Linked DNA regions of Notamacropus eugenii. The protein of the gene in region 1 interacts with the protein of each later gene in a biochemical or structural test. Links are inferred from orthologs where the notes say so. Each region holds a gene or a part of one and is shown in the gene's direction. Other genes may lie near its edges.

Evidence for each region. The genes of interacting proteins can lie anywhere in the genome.
Region 2: the proteins of MAPT (region 1) and tubulin alpha-1B chain form a complex in vitro, tested with the Homo sapiens proteins (2 studies listed by BioGRID). The link is inferred for Notamacropus eugenii from reciprocal best matches to the Homo sapiens genes MAPT and TUBA1B.

Annotation. Positions count from the first base shown.
Region 1 is NC_092873.1:346,976,964-346,986,979, reverse strand, and holds the start of MAPT (microtubule-associated protein tau), read left to right. Parts: upstream 1-5,076; 5' UTR 5,077-5,204; intron 5,205-10,016. UniProt on the Homo sapiens protein: Promotes microtubule assembly and stability, and might be involved in the establishment and maintenance of neuronal polarity.
Region 2 is NC_092874.1:221,009,313-221,019,226, reverse strand, and holds tubulin alpha-1B chain, read left to right. Parts: upstream 1-4,786; 5' UTR 4,787-5,041; coding exon 5,042-5,044; intron 5,045-6,680; coding exon 6,681-6,903; intron 6,904-6,997; coding exon 6,998-7,146; intron 7,147-8,115; coding exon 8,116-9,096; 3' UTR 9,097-9,346; downstream 9,347-9,914. UniProt on the Homo sapiens protein: Tubulin is the major constituent of microtubules, protein filaments consisting of alpha- and beta-tubulin heterodimers. Microtubules grow by the addition of GTP-tubulin dimers to the microtubule end, where a stabilizing cap forms.

The DNA of each region.
Region 1 (10,016 bases):
AGACAAAAATGAAGCAATCTTTACCCTCAATGTGCTTACATTCTACTGGGGAGCAGGAGGAGACAAAACATATACACGGACAAATAAATACATTTCTAAGAGATGGTGAAGCCTATGTGACCATACTGCTGTGTGACTGAAATGACGTAAAGAGTTAAGAATTGAAATTGAGATGGGTAAATCATGTAACCAGGTTTTCACAAAGGTTGTCACTATGAATTTTTAAATATTCAGAGGCAATTATGGGGGAAATGTGAATTGGAAAATAGTAATCAACACAGGAAGGTTATTGAAAATATGATAAAAATGATTTCTAAATCAGTAAATTGGGGAAAAGGTGGTGTAAATTAATTGCATGAACTTAAAAGTCAGCAATGGTTAGACATCTGATACAAATGAAAGACTTTCTCCCCCAAGAGTTATTTCTATGGGCCCCCCAGAAATAACATGTAGTCATTTTACAAGTGAAAAAAACAACTGATCAGTGAAGTCCTCAGTGTAGGCAGTCAACAAACATTTATTAAGTATCTACTATGTGCCTAAGGGGTTGGGGGAGATAACACGCAAACAGCTATATACAAGTGAAATATATACCAGATAAGTTGGAGATAATGTTTGAGAGAAGGAGCTAAAAAGGAGGAGGGCTTAGGAAAGGCTTTTTGTTGATGGTACTTCCAGGAAGTCAAGGAAGCCAGGAGGCAGAGATAAGGAAGGAGAGTATTCCAGGCATAGGAGACAGCCAAGGGAAAGGTCAAGTGAGGAGATAGACTGTCTAGTTGGAGGAATAGCAAGGAGACCAGCGTCGATGGATCACAGAGCATGTAGTGGTCAGAAGGACAGTATAAAGTATAAGAAGATTGAAAAGTTAGAAATGGGAAAGGCTACGGAGGCCTTTAAAGGCCAAGTGGAGGATTTTATATTTGATACTGGATGCAACAAGGAGCCACTGGAGTTAAGTGAAAAAGAGAGAGGTGACATGGTCAGACTTTCACTTTGAGAAGGTCATTTTGACAGCTTGGACTTCAGACAAGGAGGTCAACCAGTAGGTAATTGCAATAGTTCAGGTACAAGGTGATGAGGGCCTACACCAGGGTGGTGGCAATATCAGAGGAGAGGAAAGAGCTAAAAGGAGAGATATTACAAATAGAAAAGACAGGACTTGGCAATTTATTGACTATAAAGGGTAAGAGAGATTGAGAAATTGAGGATAATACCTAAGTTGCAAGTCTGGGGGACTTGGAGGATGGGGATACTCTTGACAACAATAATTGGGAAGTTAGGAAGAGGGAAGAGTTTGGGAAGAAAGAAAATAAGTTCAGGTTTAGATAGGTTGAACTTAAGATATTTATAGGACATCCAGTTGATTTCCATGACGTTGGAGATGCAAGACTGACTAAAAGGAGAGATATTACAAATAGAAAAGACAGGACTTGGCAATTTATTGACTATAAAGGGTAAGAGAGATTGAGAAATTGAGGATAATACCTAAGTTGCAAGTCTGGGGGACTTGGAGGATGGGGATACTCTTGACAACAATAATTGGGAAGTTAGGAAGAGGGAAGAGTTTGGGAAGAAAGAAAATAAGTTCAGGTTTAGATAGGTTGAACTTAAGATATTTATAGGACATCCAGTTGATTTCCATGACGTTGGAGATGCAAGACTGGAGGTCAGGAGATAGGTTGGGGCTGGAGGATAGATCTGAAAATGATCTGCATAAAGATGTAACTGAATCCAAGGGAGCTGATGAGATCATCGAATGAAATAGTATGAGGGAGAATAAATGAGTGCCCCAGTCAGAGCCTTGGGGGACATCTATGTGTAGCAAGCATGACCTGGACGAAGCTCTAGGACAGGACACTGAGTACTGAGTCAGACAGATTGGAGGAGAACCAGGAGCATAGAATCACAAAAATCTACAGAGAAGAAAAGTATCAGGAAGAGGCTGTTCAATAGGGTCAAAGGCTGCAAAAAGGCCAAGTAAAAGGTCATTAGATTTGGTGATTAAGAATAGATTGTTAGTAAATGGAGAGAGCAAGTTCAACTGAACAATAAGATCAGAAATCAGGGTACAGAGAATTAAGAAGAAAATGAGAAAAACAGGAGTGGAAGCACTGGCAGTAAATGAATTGCTCAAGTCGTTTAGCCACAAAAAGGTACTCATAGATAGATAGTTGGAAGGGATTGATCAAGTGAGAGTTTTTTGAGGTTTGGGGAGACATGGCATGTTGGTAAGCAGTAAAAAAGCAGCCAACAGACAATAAGAGACTGAAGATTAGTGAGAGAATAGGGATGACAGAGGGATGACAAAGGGGAGTGACCTGCTGGAGAAGATGGAATGGAATCCTTGTATATGTAGAGTTGTTTGCCTTTGAACAAGGGTTGCTTCATTATGTTAGACAGGGGTAAAAGAGGAGACAATTGCAGAACGGATCTGAGTGATTTGAGGTGAGGAAGAAAAGAGAAGAAGCAAATGTCTGACATTATTTCTTGTGGAATATGGAGAAAGAATCTCAGTTGAGAGGACAGAGGAAAAAATCTGTTGAGAGAGGAAATGTTTATAAAAGTTGCTGTGGTGAGTGGGATAGTGAGTCACAATGATTGCCTTGCTCCACTGACCTTAGAGGTCAATCTAGTCCAAACCCTAATTTACAGAAGAGGAAACTGAGGGTAGGGAGGGTAAATAACTTGTCCAAGGTCACATAGTTTGTTCATAACATAGGTCATAATGGAACCCAAGTCCAGCACTCAGTCCACTACACCCTGCTGGCCTTCTAGTTGTCCAAGGTCACAGAGTAGAGTAGTCAACCCACAGAATCATAGATATCAAGCTGGAAGAGATCCTCTCTCTTATTTTACACATGGGGAAACTGAAGCCCACAGATGTTAAGTGACATGGAGACCACACAGGTAGAAATAGCAGAATCAGGACTGGAATCCAGGACCTTTGACTCCAGACAGCATGCTTTCCAGTGTATCACCCTAACTCTCCCCTAGATCTGAAACTCCTCCAATCTCCAGTTCTTTCAGCTCCAATGAATTGCAGCCTTCCAAAACTGTCCTGCTTAAGAAATACTGGGTATTGAGAAAATAAATATGAATCTCCCTAATCAAGGAAGTGTAGGAAAGGAAAATGGAAGGAGGGAGGGGCTCTCTGATGTTAACAACAAATACTCCTATTTATAACTTAGCATTTATATATCACTTTAAGGTTTGCAATTTGTTGTTGTACAGCCATACAGTTGTGTCTTACTCTCTATGATCCCCTGGACAATATAGCATGCCTCTACTATCCTCTACTATCTCTTGAAGTCTGTCCAAGTTTGTGTTTCTTGTTCCCATGACACTATCTTTCTCTCTCATCCTCTGTCATTCCCTCCTCCTTTTGCCTTCAATCTTTCCTCACATCAGGGTCTTTTCTAATAAGTGCCATCTTCTCATTATATGGCCACAGTATTTAAGCTTCAGCTGCAGTGTTTGACTGTCCAGTAATAACCTGGATTAATTTCTTTAAACATTAACTGATTTGACCTTCTTGTTGTCAAGGGACTCTCAAACGTCTTCTCCAGCACCACAATGGAAAAACCTCAATTCTACAGAACTCAGCTTTCTTTATAGTCCAACTCTCACAGCCATAGATCGTTACTGGAAAAACCTGAGCTTTGACTATCTTGGACCTTTGTAGGAAAGGAGATATCTCTGCTTTTGAGCATGCTGTCCAGAGTTGTCATAGCTTTTTCTTCCAAGGAGCAAAGGTCTTTTAATTTCATGGCCTCAGTCTTCAACTTCAGTGATCTTTGAGCCCAAGAATAAAAAAAAAAATAAGTTTGCCAAGCACTCTACAAATAGTATCTCGTTTTATCTTCATAGCAATTCTGGGAAGAAAGTACTAGAATGATCCCTGTTTTACAGATGGGCACACTGGGGCACGCAGAGGTTATATGAATTAGTTGCCAGCTATAAAAAGGCCAAGGCTGAACCCGTCGTCCTTACTCTATGCGATGCTCTGTCCACTGTGCCAACCAGTTGTCCCAGAGAGGTCCGAAACGACCGTGTGATCTGGGGGCGCAAGGGAGACGAGTGGAAGAGGATGCACCCCAGGGTGGGCACCCAGCCCGAGCGCCTGGGTCCAAATCCCGGCTAAGAAGGGAGGGAGGAAAAAGGGCATGAGGGCATCGCTCGTAGGGAGACGCCTTTGCCAAGGGGCCCAAAGGGAGACAAGCAGGGGCGCAAGCTGGCGGGAATGGGTGGCTTTACAGGTGGGGGCGGTGAGCAGACCTGCGCAGGTACGCGTAGATGCGCTGCTGTGTGACCTCGGGCCCACCCTTAACCTCCTGGGCTTCGTCACGGGGTGGGGTGGGGGTGGACAAAATGACCCCCAAGTCCGCCTCGGCGCTACCCCCACCACGCTGTGACGACGACTCTGGGTGTGACCCCGGGGCTGCAGAGGGGATGGGGGGAGGGGGTCCTCTCTGTCCCGGGGACCGCCCTCGCCAGTGCTTCTGTGACTCTGGGGGTGTCAGGGCTAAGTCAGAGCCGGCTGCCCGGCCTGTGCCCCCCTCCCCCCAGGGAAAAGCCCCCGGGTCTCTCTGACGAGACAAAGGCCCCAGGCTGAGAGAAGAAGGGGGTCTGTGTATGGGGTGGGAGAGAGGTGCGTGCGCATGCGCCGGGCGCGAGCGCGCGCGCCTGTCCGTGCTGGGAAACCCAGGCGCTGGGGTGGGTGAGGGAAGGGTTGGGGCTGAGATTCCCAGGGTGGGGAAGAGGGAAAGAGAGAACCACGGCAGGGAAAGGAAAGAAGACTGGCGGCAGGGGCAACGGCGTGACCCGAGGGCGGGGCTCCCGGCCGCTTGAGGGCTCCCTCTGGCGGCCGGAGGAGAAGGGAGGGCCCTTGAGGCGGGGAGTCGCGCTTGCGCTGGCTCTGCGGCTCTCCACTTGCTGCCTGCTCTGGGCCCCCGCCCCCGCCCTCCTGCTGCCGCTGCCGCTGCTGCTGCTGCTGCTGCTCCTGCTGCTGCTGCCGCTGCTGCTGCTGAGTTACTCCGTTCGCGGGGAGGCGCCGTGGTCGCGCTCTCTGCTCCTCGGCTGCGCGCGCCCGCTCTCGCCCGCTGCTGCCCACCTCCGCCCACCTGCCACCGCCACCCAGCACCACCGCGTCCGCCACCGCCGCCACCTTTTCCGCGCTCCGCACTCCCCTCGCACCGGCCGAGCAGGTAAGCGCGGGGCTTCGGCCAGCTGCTCCCCAGCCCCCAGTGCGCCTCTGCGCCCCCTCCTCGGGCTGGATGGCTGAGCGCCCGGCGGGCAGGGAGGGATGCCTTTACCTAGCGCTCTGACCCCCACCCCACGGCCGCAGGCTGCGCACCCGCGTAGGGGAGAATGGCAGGGTTCCTCTGGCGATCCACAAAGGGAAGCGTGTGTGGAGAAAGGAAAAAAGGAGTTACGGCGTCCAAGCCTTTGCGTGAACCTGGAGAGCGAGGTGTTGAATGCACAGGGTGGGGCGCCGGTTGCGGTGACCTCGGAGGAAAAAAGGGAGGGGGACTTGCCATTCCCCTCCCCCATACCACTTGCCGCAGTAGGGCGAGGGGCATCTTTTCCGATGCCAACGACCAGGAGGGGGTGGGGCCCTGGGGTGAGGATGAGGGAGAAGAAATTTCCAGTCTCCCAGGAACCTGCCTCCGATTTCCCGTTTTGCGTACCGCGCTCAGGAGGGCGTGGGGTGGATTTTTCACCAGATGCCTCCCCACCCCGAAGTGGGCTTCGGGGGAAAGGCTTACTAGGGTCCCCACCCCCAACCCGGCTTTCTTTCCCAGAATTCAGGGGACATGTTGGCTAAGGTGGAGTGGATTCGCCTAACTGGGAGGGGTCTCTGGATGGATGGATGGATGGATGGATGGATGGATGCAAGTTTATCCTCAATTCCTATTCTCCCTGTGTCCAAAACTAAAAATCAAAAAGCAGATGAATGGTGAGGTTGACGTTTCTTGAGGGGGGAAGGTTTTTTTTTTCTGTTTCACTCCCTCCCCCCCCCAAAATCAGGGTGTGTGCGTGTGTGTGTGTGTGTGTGTGTGTGTGTGTGTGTGTGTGCGTGTCCAGCACCGCGGCTGCGTCCCCGCCTTGGTCACTCGGAAAATCGAGCTGCTTTTTTGCAGACGTCAGTTGCCGCACTCAGGGCTGCGGGCTGCAAGGTGCATTTTCAGAGGACGGGTTTCTTTCTCTTCCTTTCCCGGGTTCTCGTTCCTCTCTTACCCGCAGCGGGTAGCGCTGTCCGTTCTGTAGCCGGCCCTTACGCCGTGGCCGTGATGGCGGTGAGGGCTTGCCTCTGGATGCTGCAGTAGGTGTGTATCTGGAGGGAGGGGGGAAGGGAGGAGAGGGAGGAGGGAGGGGGGAAAGGATGGGCTTTCTCCCTCTTCTCTCTTTTTCAAATCGGTGGTGCCATATTTTGCAGTCTGACATGTCCTTATAAATGCCGTTGTGATATCCTTGGCATATACCCTGTAGAGAACAGGATGGCATGTGGTGATATGGTTAAAAGCAAGACGGGGGAAATCTGCTGTGAAAGCTTTACATTTTGCTACCGCAGAATGACCTTAGGGAACGTGCGCTGGGGAGAGTGCCGCTTTGTGTCTCCCTGTTAAATGGTTCGTGTTTCCCCGCTATGGTTTTAAAATTTCGTTTGATTGAGAAGTGTGGTGTCTACCCCGAGCATCGCCACCCCACCTAGTCCCGAGAAGGTGCCACTAGAATCAGCAGGCTTTTGTCGAATCGATTTTCCCCCTTAATAACCGAGGAACCAACGTGACAGCGGCGATGGCAGGGATACAATAGACGCTTCTTTTCGCTGTTTCCGGGCTTTTCTGAGAACGCGTCTCCAAATTCCCAGGGAGGGTTTTCTTTTCCCACAGTGTATGGGAACAGCAAAGGCTCTGCTGGCCGCCGCGCGGCCGGGACTACGCCCCTTTTAGGACCGGGCACGCGCAGAGGCTAAAGTGGACCACCCAGGCTGGTTAGGGTAGGCTCACAGGTGCTCCCTCACCCTCAGGGAGGCTGCTTAGGGTTGGAGAAAATGACGAAACAAACAAACAAAAACCATCCCTGTGCCTTGCGGGAATTGCCTGTCTGCGTCGTTCCTTCGGTGCCAGGAGCTCCCATACCCGCACGCGCCCTGGCGCACAGTCCCGCTAGTTCATTCCCGGGCCGGGGCACTATCCCGTGGCCACCACGCCTCGCGGCGCGCGCGCGCGTACACATCCATGAGCGCGCGCGTGCACACACCCTCTGCATGTTAATCCACACACAGACCGAAAGGGTCCTGCTCCGCTCGTTTGACAGATCCATGAGGAAAACTAGCATGTTTGCGCGTGTTGCGCAGAGGCATTCCTGCAGGTGCGAGCGTTGTGTGATAGAGAGTGCTCTTCTGGTCCAGATGCCCATGAACAACCAGTGCTTAGGAACTGAGCTGAAAAACGGCAGGCCTTTTTCTGAAAGAGGATCAGGGCAAGGAGAGATTGATGGAAATGGGAGAAGATTGAGTAGGAAGGACCCCAGGCTTCTAGGATTTCCTTCTTTAGGGATAGAGTTGCAAAGAATTGGGGAGGCATCTCGAGACTTCATTGGAGATGTGGGTTCTGCTGACTTTGGGAGCAGCACCCACCAAGGAGCTCACCACAATCATGGAACATTGACTGGGGTCGTAATGGGATAGATCGTGGACAGATCTTTACAGTAAATTAATTCAGAACAAGCATTTATTTTTAGAGTGTCTTTCTCCCCACCCTCCCAAACAGCCTTCCAGGAGAACTAGTGAGGAGGTCAAGACCTTTTGCAGTCTTGTGACATTAAAGATGGGTGGGGTGACATCAGGGAGACAGCCACCAGGGGGGAGCAGTACAGATGCAGCATCTACATCAGCAGCTTCTCCTACATGATTCTTCCCCTTCCATGTAGGAAATTAAGAAAGAATAAACACTGCCTTTTTAAGGAAGGGATTTGGTGAGGTGGAGAATAGGAAGGAAGTATGGCCTGAAGTATTATACTGTCCACTTTCTAAATTGATCTGAACATTCACTCTTGGAATAACTTAGCCCTCCCATCTCCAGCAGAGGCTAAGGACAAAGATGAGAGGGAGGTAAGGGAATGAAGGGACTTTAAGTGGTTTCCACCTCATCCAGCCCCACTCCCACTCTGTGAATGTGGGGAACTAATCAAAGTTATTTCTGAAAGCTTTTATCTAACAAAGAATGAGGATTATTCTGGTGATACCAGTCAGATGTTATCCCAGTGAAGATGGATTTTTGTAGCTATGACAGGCTATTACTGAATGGAAATGTTCTCAGCTTGCGTCTATTTGACGACTAAGGAGGAATGGAAGGGCCTAATACCTTTTAGTTCACCAAATCCTCAATCAAATCGTGGGTTGGCTAAAATGCTGCTCCGTTTTGAAATACCTCTCCAAGTGTGTGAGTATTGATTGGCAAAGATTAGGACAGCTGTCCATAAAAAAAAATAATTCTGATGATTGTTTAAAATATGATTAAAAAAACATTTTATGACTCTTTAAAACTGAACTTTGTTGAAGGATTTGTAATGGACTAGATTGCATTTCATTTCCTAATTACGGGATTATTACTATGTAATTTTGAACTTCAGGCTTCAAATGACTGAATTTTTTTTTCACTTTCACCAAATGAAATGGATAATGAAATAATCAGGATATTATTTAGTCTTCAAGGCAAGCCTGAGATATGTTAGGCTGAAACAACTGTCTTGTGGCTGCTTACCAGGGTCAGAGGACCTCCACAGGGCCTTAGGATGCCAAGCAGTTGAGCAGAATTTCCAAGAATGTTAGGGTAATTCTTTTCCTCCCCATCCTTAAAAAATTTGAGAAAGAAAAATACAGGTTACCCAGATCACTGGATTAATACCCAGCTGTCCTCCTAGTTTGTTCAACATGGCAATAACAGGTCTCTGCTTTTGTGCAAAGGGCCATTACTTTGAGAAACACGATTGACTTCCCTCCTTTTTTTCCTGCCTTTTAACGTCATGTTGTACTCCCTGAGAAAACTGCTGTTCTCCTGTAGAGTTCATTTCTAGTTAACTGTGAGTGACATTCAAATTAGTAAATACTCTATATGTTTCAGCTAGATAACCTCTATGATAGAAATATTTTTTTTTTTAATCTTCCATTTTAAAAGGTAGTTTAAGAAAGGTTTTGGTGAGGAACAACAATTTTTTTGTAATCCTGGGATTTCATTTTATGTACTATCTCTTTAAATTTCAGTGCTGCTTATATGGGGTTTCCTAAAAGTCTTATTGCAGGTCTAAGCTTTTACAGCTGTATTTACTCTCATCCTTTCTTATCTGGTCCTTCTGAATTTTATTCCTGCCTTTCCTTGCTTCCTTTACCACCATTCTTAATTCAACTCTTCATTTCTAGTAACAGTTCTCATGCAGCTGGCTACTCATTTTCCTATCAGGTAAGTTTCATGTATCCATTAACTTGTTTTTAATTTACCATCAGGCCATTCCCATAGAGGAGAAGGAGGATGCATCAGTTTATTTATATATGCTCCTAATGAGGTGACTGACAAATGTTTTGTAGTTTGAGTATCTTTCCTAGTTCTCAAAGAGCTATCAGCACAAATGGAGCCTGGAAGGGTGTGGTTTTTAAATGACTTCTATTAAGCATGCCTCTTCAGACAAGGACAAAAGAAACACATTTCAGAAAAACTGTAAGAAGAAAACGTGTTTTGATTTATTAAGATTCAGTTGTTTTAGGTCATGAGAAGAGGTATATAGTAGCAATTTTCATTTTCTTTTGTTTAAATATATCGACATATTAGTCCCCTTCCTATTAGATTACATCATCCATTAAGTAAGGGAGCTTCTCCACATTCCCTTAGCACAAATGTGCTCATCCAGTTTACTGTGTCATCTAGCTCTTAATTCACAAGTTGCCAAAGAGCCTCAGACTAGTGGGTGTTATTCTCCCCATCCAAAAACTAGATTTTAAGTTCCTCCTTTTCTTC
Region 2 (9,914 bases), on another chromosome or scaffold:
TTTATTCCCCCTTAATACTAGTGCCTTCCTTCTGTAGATTAGCTCTAATTTATTGTGTACATATCTTGTTTGCATACAGTCAGGGGTGTGCTGATCAACATTTAATAATTGGCTCTCCCAAAAACTGTACACAGGATCCACTTTTAAGTTTGATCTACATTATTAACATTTTCTCCAACACTTTCTTAAGTCTAGACAATCCACAACAATAACAAAAAATAAATCCAATGGTAGGTTTGTAGTTTCACATGCAATCATCTTTTTTTTGTTATACCGATATGGCAATACTTGTTTTGTTCCATGAATTGAAAATAAAATAAATTTGTAATACAAAAAGCTCCCAATAAATCAAGTGCTGATTTGTAGTGTTCGCTGAATTCCAAAGCATAAATGCTCACACTAAAAAGTAAACAATTAGCTCTCTGGAGCTGTTACAAGCTGGCTCCAGCACACTCCTGTGTATACTTGTTTTCATGTTGCTTCCCCCATTAGGATATGAGAGGAAGAACTGTTTATTGCCTTCCTTTGTATCACCAGTGCTATTAGTGACTAGCACACAGCAGGAGCTTATTAAATGCTTATTGACTGACTGACTAATAATGTACTCTAGGTATCGAGATGATAGACTATAGGTACAGAATTAGACAAATATTTTCAGATACAACCTAATTTGTTTTGCTTGAGCATACTTATTTGTTATAAGGGAAGGATTTTATTTGGGTAAAGGGAGAGATGCAGAAGAGAAGAGAGATAGTCATAGGGATGCAAAACAAATTTATTATGTTTTAATAAACAATATGTTTCTATCAATTTTGCAAGTCTTAAGAACTCTGATCAACAAAATGGCCAGCCACAACTTCAGAGGTCTCATGATGAAACAGGCTACCCACTTCCCCATAAAGAGGTAATGAATTCAGAATGAAAACTGAGACTTTTTTTTGGGACCTAGATAATTAGGGGATTTGTTTGTAACAGGGAATTTTGCATTTCTTGCTTTCTTAATGGGGGTGGAGGGAAAGTAGAAGGGAGCCTTTAATGGGAAAAAAGAATTTAAAGCAATCTCTTCATGATTTCATAGCCAAACCTTTTTCTGGCCGTTTTCACATAATGGAAATATTTCCATTTTTGATTCAAATAGGATGGGGATGGACCTGACTATGGTTGTAAGTAATGAGGGAGGTACCAGTAAACAGAGAAGCGTTAAAGTTTAAAAGGAAGGAATGTTTGGGCAAGATTCTGGAACAGATAGAAAGGGATGCTGATTGTTGGCACAAGTAGAGAGACTGTTCTTAACCACAAGTGAAGTGAAGTTGTATGTATGTGTGTGGGTTGGTGTTGTGATATAGAGAAAAAAATAACAGAACTCATAAAAATGATCTCAATTTTCCAGCAAAAAGTTACAAAAACATTTGCTGAGAGAGAGAATAGAAATGATGTTGGAGGCTTGAAGAGAGAAAAGAAAGTTTGGAATAATCACTTAGGAGAATAAAACAGAAAAAGTGAATTGAAGAAGAATAAAAAGTTTGCTGTACAGCAATAAAATTAAATCATTTAAGTCTTTGGTGGATACAGGACAGTATCAGAGCTGCTGCAGCCTCCCAGGCCTTGCCAAACAAAGTGAAAGCAGAAGAATGGACACTAGGAGAGACTGCCATTGCCACTGCCACTGCTACAGTGGCAGCCAGATCAGGGGGCTTGGCTTGAGACTTCTGGAGCTGAGAGAGGAGACCGTTGCCCTGCTTTCCCTCCCCAACCCCACCTGTCTTCCGAATATCAGTACTCTGCTACTGCCTGTCTGTCCCACCCACCCCCCTCCTATCTATGTCCCCAAAGAACCTCATGTGTCTTCCTGCCCCACCCCCTTCTTCCTTTTGGTTCTGGCCAGGCCTTCACGTGGCTGGCCGCTGCCTGCTTTTGTTTCACTCGCATTACCAATAAAAAAAAGAAAGAAAAAAATGGTTTTACAGAAGTCTGCAGAACAGGAGTAAAGCAAGAACTGTCTGTGTACCAGATAATACAGAATGACAGAGCTCTCCCATTGGGAATAAGGTAATTCAGCTTAACCAAGAGAGATGGTGTTGTATCTCACCCAAGAGGAAACTCTCCAAGGTCTCTAGAGTAGCAAGCTAGGAACAGAGACATGACCGAGACTTCTTGCTCCTGTCATGTCTTCTCAGCCTTTTCCTTCAGCAGCCTGAAGTGAAGTTAGCCTTTTTCCCTTTATCTCTCAAAGATGGAAGACAACAACACTAGAAGAAAACATGAAACTTGACCAATACCAATCCCTGAAGACTCCTGAAGGGGGAAGTCCCAAAGAGGGAAGTCCCAAAGAGGGACACCGGTTTGAAAAGTCCCCATAGAAGGACTGAGAACTGATGCTCTCTTGCCTCTCTTCTCTACCAATATGGAGAAAGTCCCATGCCAATGGTCTTGGGACAAGAATTGTACCCACTAGTGCTGGTTTTAATTTCTTTCACCATCACCACAGATTAAAGGGTGGACTCCTACAAATAGCAGCCCTGGAATCTGACTACCCAAATCTACTACTACACACCTATATGGCAGACTGGGAGGCCTAATATGAATGCCATGAATCACTCTGCACCTTGCACCTTGAAATAGCAGACAGAAAGTATTTCTTAAGGTCAAAGGAAAAGGAAATAAGAAACCATGAAATCTGTATATTTGCATGTAGACTTTGTCATTTCCCAGTGTTTCATCAATCTCTTCCTGAAATTCTGGGGGCCTCCTCCACTCACCACAGTGGTAAAGCCACTGTACAAATAGCTACTTTAAAAAGACAGAAAATTATAATTAGAGAGGAGAATGCTAGTGTTCAGAATCATGGAGATGACATCATTATGGGTGATGGTGGGAGCTAAGGTATGACCCTCTCTATGGCTGGCTAAGGTGGAAAGATTGTAGATCATGACAGCTGAGGCAACTGATAAGCAAGATAGGCAGGGTTTTGAGAGGACATCAACACCTATATCACAATATAAAGGCAGAGATTGGGGTGCAACCAATAATGATCAAGATACTTGAGAAAGAAAGGAAAGTGACCTGGAGGATGGTAGATGCCAGAAATCAAACTCTGGATGGGGTAATACAGATAGCTGGAATGAATCTAAAAGGAAGAATGGTTACTGAATGCCAACTTCTTCTCCTGGCCCAATATGGTAGGTTGCCTAGGAGAAGAAACACCCAGTGTTGAAAGAGTAGCCAAGAATCAGTCTTTTAGAAAGAGGCAGGTTTCTGTGAGATCCTGATGGAAAGAGTGAAATAAGAAATCTAGAAGGAAAGGAAAATTGTTAATCAGTAGAGATTTCAAAGAGCACAGTGTAAAGGAGGGCAAAGGAGGAAAGGTACTGAGGAGAGCTAAGTGGAGATGATAATATGGGAACATTATTTTTCACCTTAGGGGCAATAACTCTGAATTATGAGTATCAGAGAAACAGATACAAATTTGCTAACTATTGTGCCTAGAGAAGTACCACTTGTTTGGGGCTTTTGCCCCATAAGTTGGTTGTATTCTAACTCCAAACACTGAGGACATAAAGGTGGACGAGATAGCAGTGTCCCAACCAGAGATCTAGCCACTCAGAAACTACACTAAATTCAAACGTGCCAACAGCTCCATAGCTATGTTCTAGAATAATAAGAGATGATGAGACACACTGAGAGGATCTCACACATGGAACATCCATCACACCCAGAAACTATCCATCCACACATGGAATAAGCATTTATTAAGCTCTTACTATGTGCCAAGCATTAGGGTAAGTGCTGGGAACACAGAGAAAGGCAAAAAAGCCCCTGCCCTCCAGGAACTAACATTCCAGTGTGGGAGGCAGCAAGTAAATAGGTACACACAAGAGTAAATAGAAAGTAACCTAAGAAAGAAAGGCAACTGAGTGGGAAAGCAGAGAGAGAAACTGGTGTTTGAGCTGAATCTCCTAGGAAGTTGGGTTATCTTAAAGGTGGAGGAGAAGGAAGAACAGCATTCCCAGCGCACAGAACAGCCAGTTTACAGGCAGACATTTGAGATGGGGGATGGGAGTGCAATACGTGAGGTCTAGCCAGCTGGCCAATATGGCTGAATCATAGAATGTGAGACAGGAAGTAAAGCATAAAAACACTAGAAAGGGAAGGAACCTGCATGGGAAAAATCTCAATGCCATACAGGAGACTTTACATTTTATCTTGAAGTTGACAGTCCCTGGGGTTTCCTGAGTGGGAGTTAGAGGGACAGGATGAGGAGGGTGAGGGAGGTCCAGACCTATGATTTAGCAAAGTCACTTGGTTCTTGGCTGAGTCTGGCTGTCTGCTGGAAGAAGACACTAGATATAATGTCTAAAATTCACATTTCAGGATGGAGCCGAGCCTTTGTCCGAGATCTCAGTTTGGGGGGGGGGGGGTCCAGGAAGAAAGTGTTCAGTATTACGCAAGATAGGGAGAGATGCTGTGGACATGGGGTACAGCAGACCTGCACAGGCCAGGGCTACATCTGTATATACCGCCCGCTTTGCAGCCTTGTTTTCCCCGCAGTATTGGCCTTCCTGATGGCTGCGGGTGAGGCCCTGCTGAGTTAAGGGCTTCAGTGTCTGAGGGCAGCGTGCTTACCGAATTATTATAAATTCAGGGTTTCCATTGAGCGTCTGGGGCTTTTGATTCGGGGCATCTTTGTAATGTCCAGGTCTCTGAGCCATAAAGGAACGGAGCTCACCAGACACTGAAAGGAGGGGGCCTGCCTCCCTCCGGGCCGCAGTGGGGGTGGGAGCACGCCGGCCGCTCCCCGCCTCTGCAGCCGCAGCTCCCCGCCCGGGCGCGGGGTTGCAGCAGGGGCCTGGCTCGCAGGGGGAGGGGCTGGCCGGTCTGCCGCGTTAGCCCCGCCCTTCCCCGCAGCTGCCATATAAGCGGCTCCGGCGCCTCCCCCGCCTCAGTGAGTTACTTACCTCGACTCTTAGCTTGTCGAGGGCTGTAACGAGAGCCCGGCTACCCCTGCTCTGCCGTCTCAGCCGCTGCTTAACCCGCGACCACCATGGTGAGAGGCCGGGGCTGGCTTGGGGCTGGGTTCTAGGTCGGACGGGAAGCGCAGGAACTGGGAGTTCAGGGCAGGAGGGGGGGTCCTGATGGGGCGGGGGGGACGGAACGGAGCTCAGAATGTGAGGCGAGGGCCCCACGCTGGGGCCTGCAGGGCGGCGCGGGGCTTCCCCACCCCCCGACTCGGGTAGCGAGGTGGGGCGCGCTCCGGCCTCCTGACCGCTGGCTGCGGTGGCTTTTCCCGCGCGCGCCCAGGCCGCCGCCCTCCTCCCCTCGCCCTCCTCCCCTCCCCCTCCCGCGTGCGCGCCTGCCGGCGCAGTCTTCGCGCCTCCATGCCGGCTTCCGCAGCCTCTCCCCGCGCTTTCTGGCGGGGCACGGAAGCCATCGCGCGCCCTCGAGCCCGCCAGCCCTCTGCGGAAGGCGCGCGCCCGCCCGGGTACGGCCCCCCTCCCCCGGACTGCGGCTCTGCGGACGTTCGGGGCTGCAGAGCCGCAGTGGGGAGGAGGGGAAGCCCGCCCGGGCTGGCTCTTTTTTTTCAACTTCTAAAAAACTTCATCTAATGAAAAATAGCGTGGGTGGCATGGCACCCCCCCGTGCCCCTGGCCCGGGCCGCATTAGGCGCATCGCTGCCATTCCAGGCCGGTCCTCGGAGACAATAGCGTGCCATGGCAGCGCGGCCATCTGTTCCTCCCTGCCCCGGCCTCCGCAGCCCGCTCTGCGCTAGGAATGCGCGGGGAGCAGGTGGTGGGAGGCGAGGGCAGAGGCAGGACGGATTCCACGGGCAGAAATCGGATCTGGCCCCAGATCTGGGCCGAGGATAATCGGGCCGGACAGATGTGGAGGCTGCGGGAGGGGTGGGAGGGGCCGGGCGGGCCGCAGCCTCTGCAGACGTGGACGGCCCCCGTGGTTTGGGGCGAGGGAGGTGGCATCGCCATGGCGCAGCGGGCTCAATAGCGCCTTCAGTCTTCTCCCCCTCCCCCTCCGTCGGAGGGCCAGACGTTTCCTCCTTGCAATTCTATCCTTGCTTCCTGTCTGCTGCCTGCTCACAAATCTGGCCTCGCCTGCAGAGGTGGGAGGCTGGACATGTGCGCAGGCAGGAAGCCGTGACTAAGCTCCATCTTTAGGCTGCCTGCTGCGGAGTTGCGGCAGAAAGGGGTTGGGGCCGAGGTACAGGAAATGGCAGCGTAGTCTCACCTACCAAACAGAATGACTGTACGGGGAGGGAAGGGGGTACTGATTTCAACGTGAAGTCAAAAGAAAAGCCGCTCCTTAGTGAGAATGAGCCCCCAAATTCTTTGTAGGGAGGGTTGTAGAGCCCAGGTGCCTTATTGATGACAAAGTGGGTGGCTCCAGGGAACTCAGATTGGGTGAAATGAAAGCAAAACTTGATATTTCTGCCAGGTTTTTCTTTCCCTTCCCTGCCATATAAGCTCCCATATTTTAAATATTGATTCCATAGAACTCCTTGGTGTCTATTGTTAATTTTTTTAAGTCTCTAGAAAGTTAAAATGTTTTGTAAATTCAATTAGTTATGAGGAGGACTTTGGGAATCCTGCGATTGGTACCAAGAATCGTGCAGATTTTTCTGTGATAGGAGACCCATTACAAAATTGCCTTTCTCTACTCTTGTCCCACAGCGTGAATGTATCTCTATCCACGTTGGCCAAGCTGGTGTCCAGATTGGCAATGCCTGCTGGGAGTTGTACTGCCTGGAGCATGGTATCCAGCCTGATGGTCAGATGCCAAGTGACAAGACCATTGGGGGAGGAGATGACTCCTTCAACACCTTCTTCAGTGAAACAGGAGCTGGCAAACATGTCCCCAGAGCAGTGTTTGTAGATCTGGAACCAACTGTCATTGGTGAGTCTAGCCATTAGCCCTAAAGGCCTCCCCAAGTTGTCACTTCTTTTTTCTTCCTATAACCATAACTGTGTTTGTATATTTCTTCCCCTAGATGAAGTTCGCACTGGAACCTACCGCCAGCTCTTCCATCCTGAGCAGCTGATCACTGGCAAGGAAGATGCTGCCAATAACTATGCCCGTGGGCACTACACTATTGGCAAGGAAATCATTGACTTGGTTCTAGACAGGATTCGGAAGCTGGTAAATATAAAGATAAAAAAGAAATAAATTTTAATCCTAATAGTTGTGATGGGTCAAGAATAGAAAAACATGGCAATTTTAGGAATTGCTTATGGTTATGCACAACAGTGAATTCTTAGAATAATTATTCAGCAATCAGACTAAACAGAAGATTTCAGATCTCACTAGAATAGACAGCCTGGACAGTTGTACTAAGCTAGCTTTCTTTAGATATAGGACTTTCGTTTTTTTTGTCAGGTATTCCCAATAGCTATATCCTCTCCAATAGAAGCCTATAGACTTCTGAAGTCTGATCTTCTTGTTCCTGGAAAATTCCTGAAAAAAACAATTACGCAATTGTAAATCCCAATATTTGGGAATGAGTCTTAAAATACCCATAATACTATCCATATTAATTTGACATCTTTGAGTTTAGACATATTGCCAGACTAGTCAATTTTTATAGCTAGGATTCTGTGAATTCCTGATTACCCTGAAGTGAGCATGAGACTTGATGTAGGTACAAATTAAACAAGACTCCTATGGGGTTGCTTTAGGAAGAGGGAACATCTTTCGGTGTTGTAGCCTATTGTCTGAGACCAAGGAAGCAACATTCTTTTCTGGTATCTACCTTTAGATCCCTAGGATTCTTACTCATGCCTAAGCAGATGTGGTTGTACCTAGTGATAGCTGTGCTTCAGACACTTTACTGAAGGAAACTAGAGATCATTTTGAGCTAATAGTTGTTCCTTTAATAAATTCAATAGATAAAGATCAGTTTAGGTCAGCTGGTGATATGGACTTGCCTCAGTTGACTGGGGGCAGCTTTTACTAGCTCAGTGTGGGTTGAGATATTTCTTAATAGTCCATGATCCAAAGGTTACAATATTGATAGCAGAAAATAAAAATAAAGTTAAGTATGTGGCATAGAGGGTAAGAATATAGCCTAGCACCTAAACTGACTCTTACTGTGATTTTCTTTTCCAACAGGCTGATCAGTGCACAGGTCTTCAGGGCTTCTTGGTTTTCCACAGCTTTGGTGGTGGGACTGGCTCTGGTTTCACCTCTCTGCTGATGGAACGTCTGTCCGTTGACTATGGCAAGAAGTCCAAGCTGGAGTTCTCCATTTACCCAGCCCCTCAGGTTTCCACAGCTGTAGTGGAACCCTACAACTCCATTCTGACCACTCACACCACCCTGGAGCACTCTGATTGTGCCTTCATGGTAGACAATGAGGCCATCTATGATATCTGTCGCAGAAACCTTGACATTGAACGCCCAACCTATACTAATCTGAATCGCCTTATTAGTCAAATTGTGTCCTCCATCACTGCCTCTCTCCGATTTGATGGTGCCCTGAATGTTGATCTGACAGAGTTCCAGACCAACCTGGTGCCCTATCCCCGTATCCATTTCCCTCTGGCCACATATGCCCCAGTCATCTCTGCTGAGAAAGCCTACCATGAGCAACTTTCTGTAGCAGAGATCACCAATGCTTGCTTTGAGCCTGCCAACCAGATGGTGAAATGTGACCCTCGCCACGGTAAATACATGGCTTGTTGCCTGCTCTACCGTGGTGATGTGGTTCCCAAAGATGTCAATGCTGCTATTGCCACCATCAAGACAAAGCGTAGCATCCAGTTTGTGGATTGGTGCCCAACTGGTTTCAAGGTTGGCATCAATTACCAGCCTCCCACTGTGGTTCCTGGTGGTGACCTGGCCAAGGTACAGCGGGCTGTGTGCATGTTAAGCAACACCACAGCCATTGCTGAGGCCTGGGCTCGCCTGGACCACAAATTTGATCTGATGTATGCCAAGCGTGCCTTTGTCCATTGGTATGTGGGGGAGGGCATGGAGGAAGGAGAGTTCTCTGAGGCACGGGAGGATATGGCTGCCCTGGAGAAAGATTATGAGGAGGTTGGTGTGGATTCTGTTGAAGGAGAGGGTGAAGAGGAAGGAGAAGAGTACTAGTTACCCCTTCCGTACAACTGCAGCATGTTGCATCCAAAACTCATCAGCTTAAACACACTTAGCTTATCTGTTACCTAGGCAACTGTTGAGAAGGTACCATAATGGTATGAAGGCAGCCTTGATAGTACAGCTAGCTATCTGGTTAGTTTGTCTACACTATCAAAACTGTGATCATGTCTAAGTTTTCCATGTGTCTCTGTAAAAAATTTTTCCATCGTGTCTGAAATTAAAGGCTTTAAGGAAAAATGCAGTCTTGACTTCTGTCTAGTCTTTTAAATGGCATGTCTGAGTCTGGAAGTGTGCTGTGCTATTCCCTAATCCCTGAATGCTCTTACCAATTTAACTTTGGATATTGTTGAGTGATACTGGTGTTACAGGTTGCCTGCCTGACTCTTAAATGGAAGACTTTTCTGGTGGGCTTATCACTTGAGATGACCATATAAAGTAGTGAAAGGAAAACTAGACAAGTCCTATTTCTGCCATGAACTTACTGGGGCTATGACAGTCACCTAACCCTTTTTAGTTTCCCTGTTCACAAAACAAGCATTGAACTAGATGAACTCTTGAGGTCCCTTAAATTCTTTTATCTTATGGAGAAGGGGATTTATACTGCTTAAGACATGGGTGATGGGTCATTCTTTACTTCATCACAATCCCTTGGAAGGTGGCCCTTGAAGTCAAACTACTTGTGCCCTTGATTTCTTCCATCTCTGGGATCTTTCCTTTTCAAACTCTTTTATCTAGTGGTTCCTCTACCCTTTGCAAACATTTGTCTCCCTTGTATTCAACCCTTCAAGCTCACACCCAGTATTTTGCTT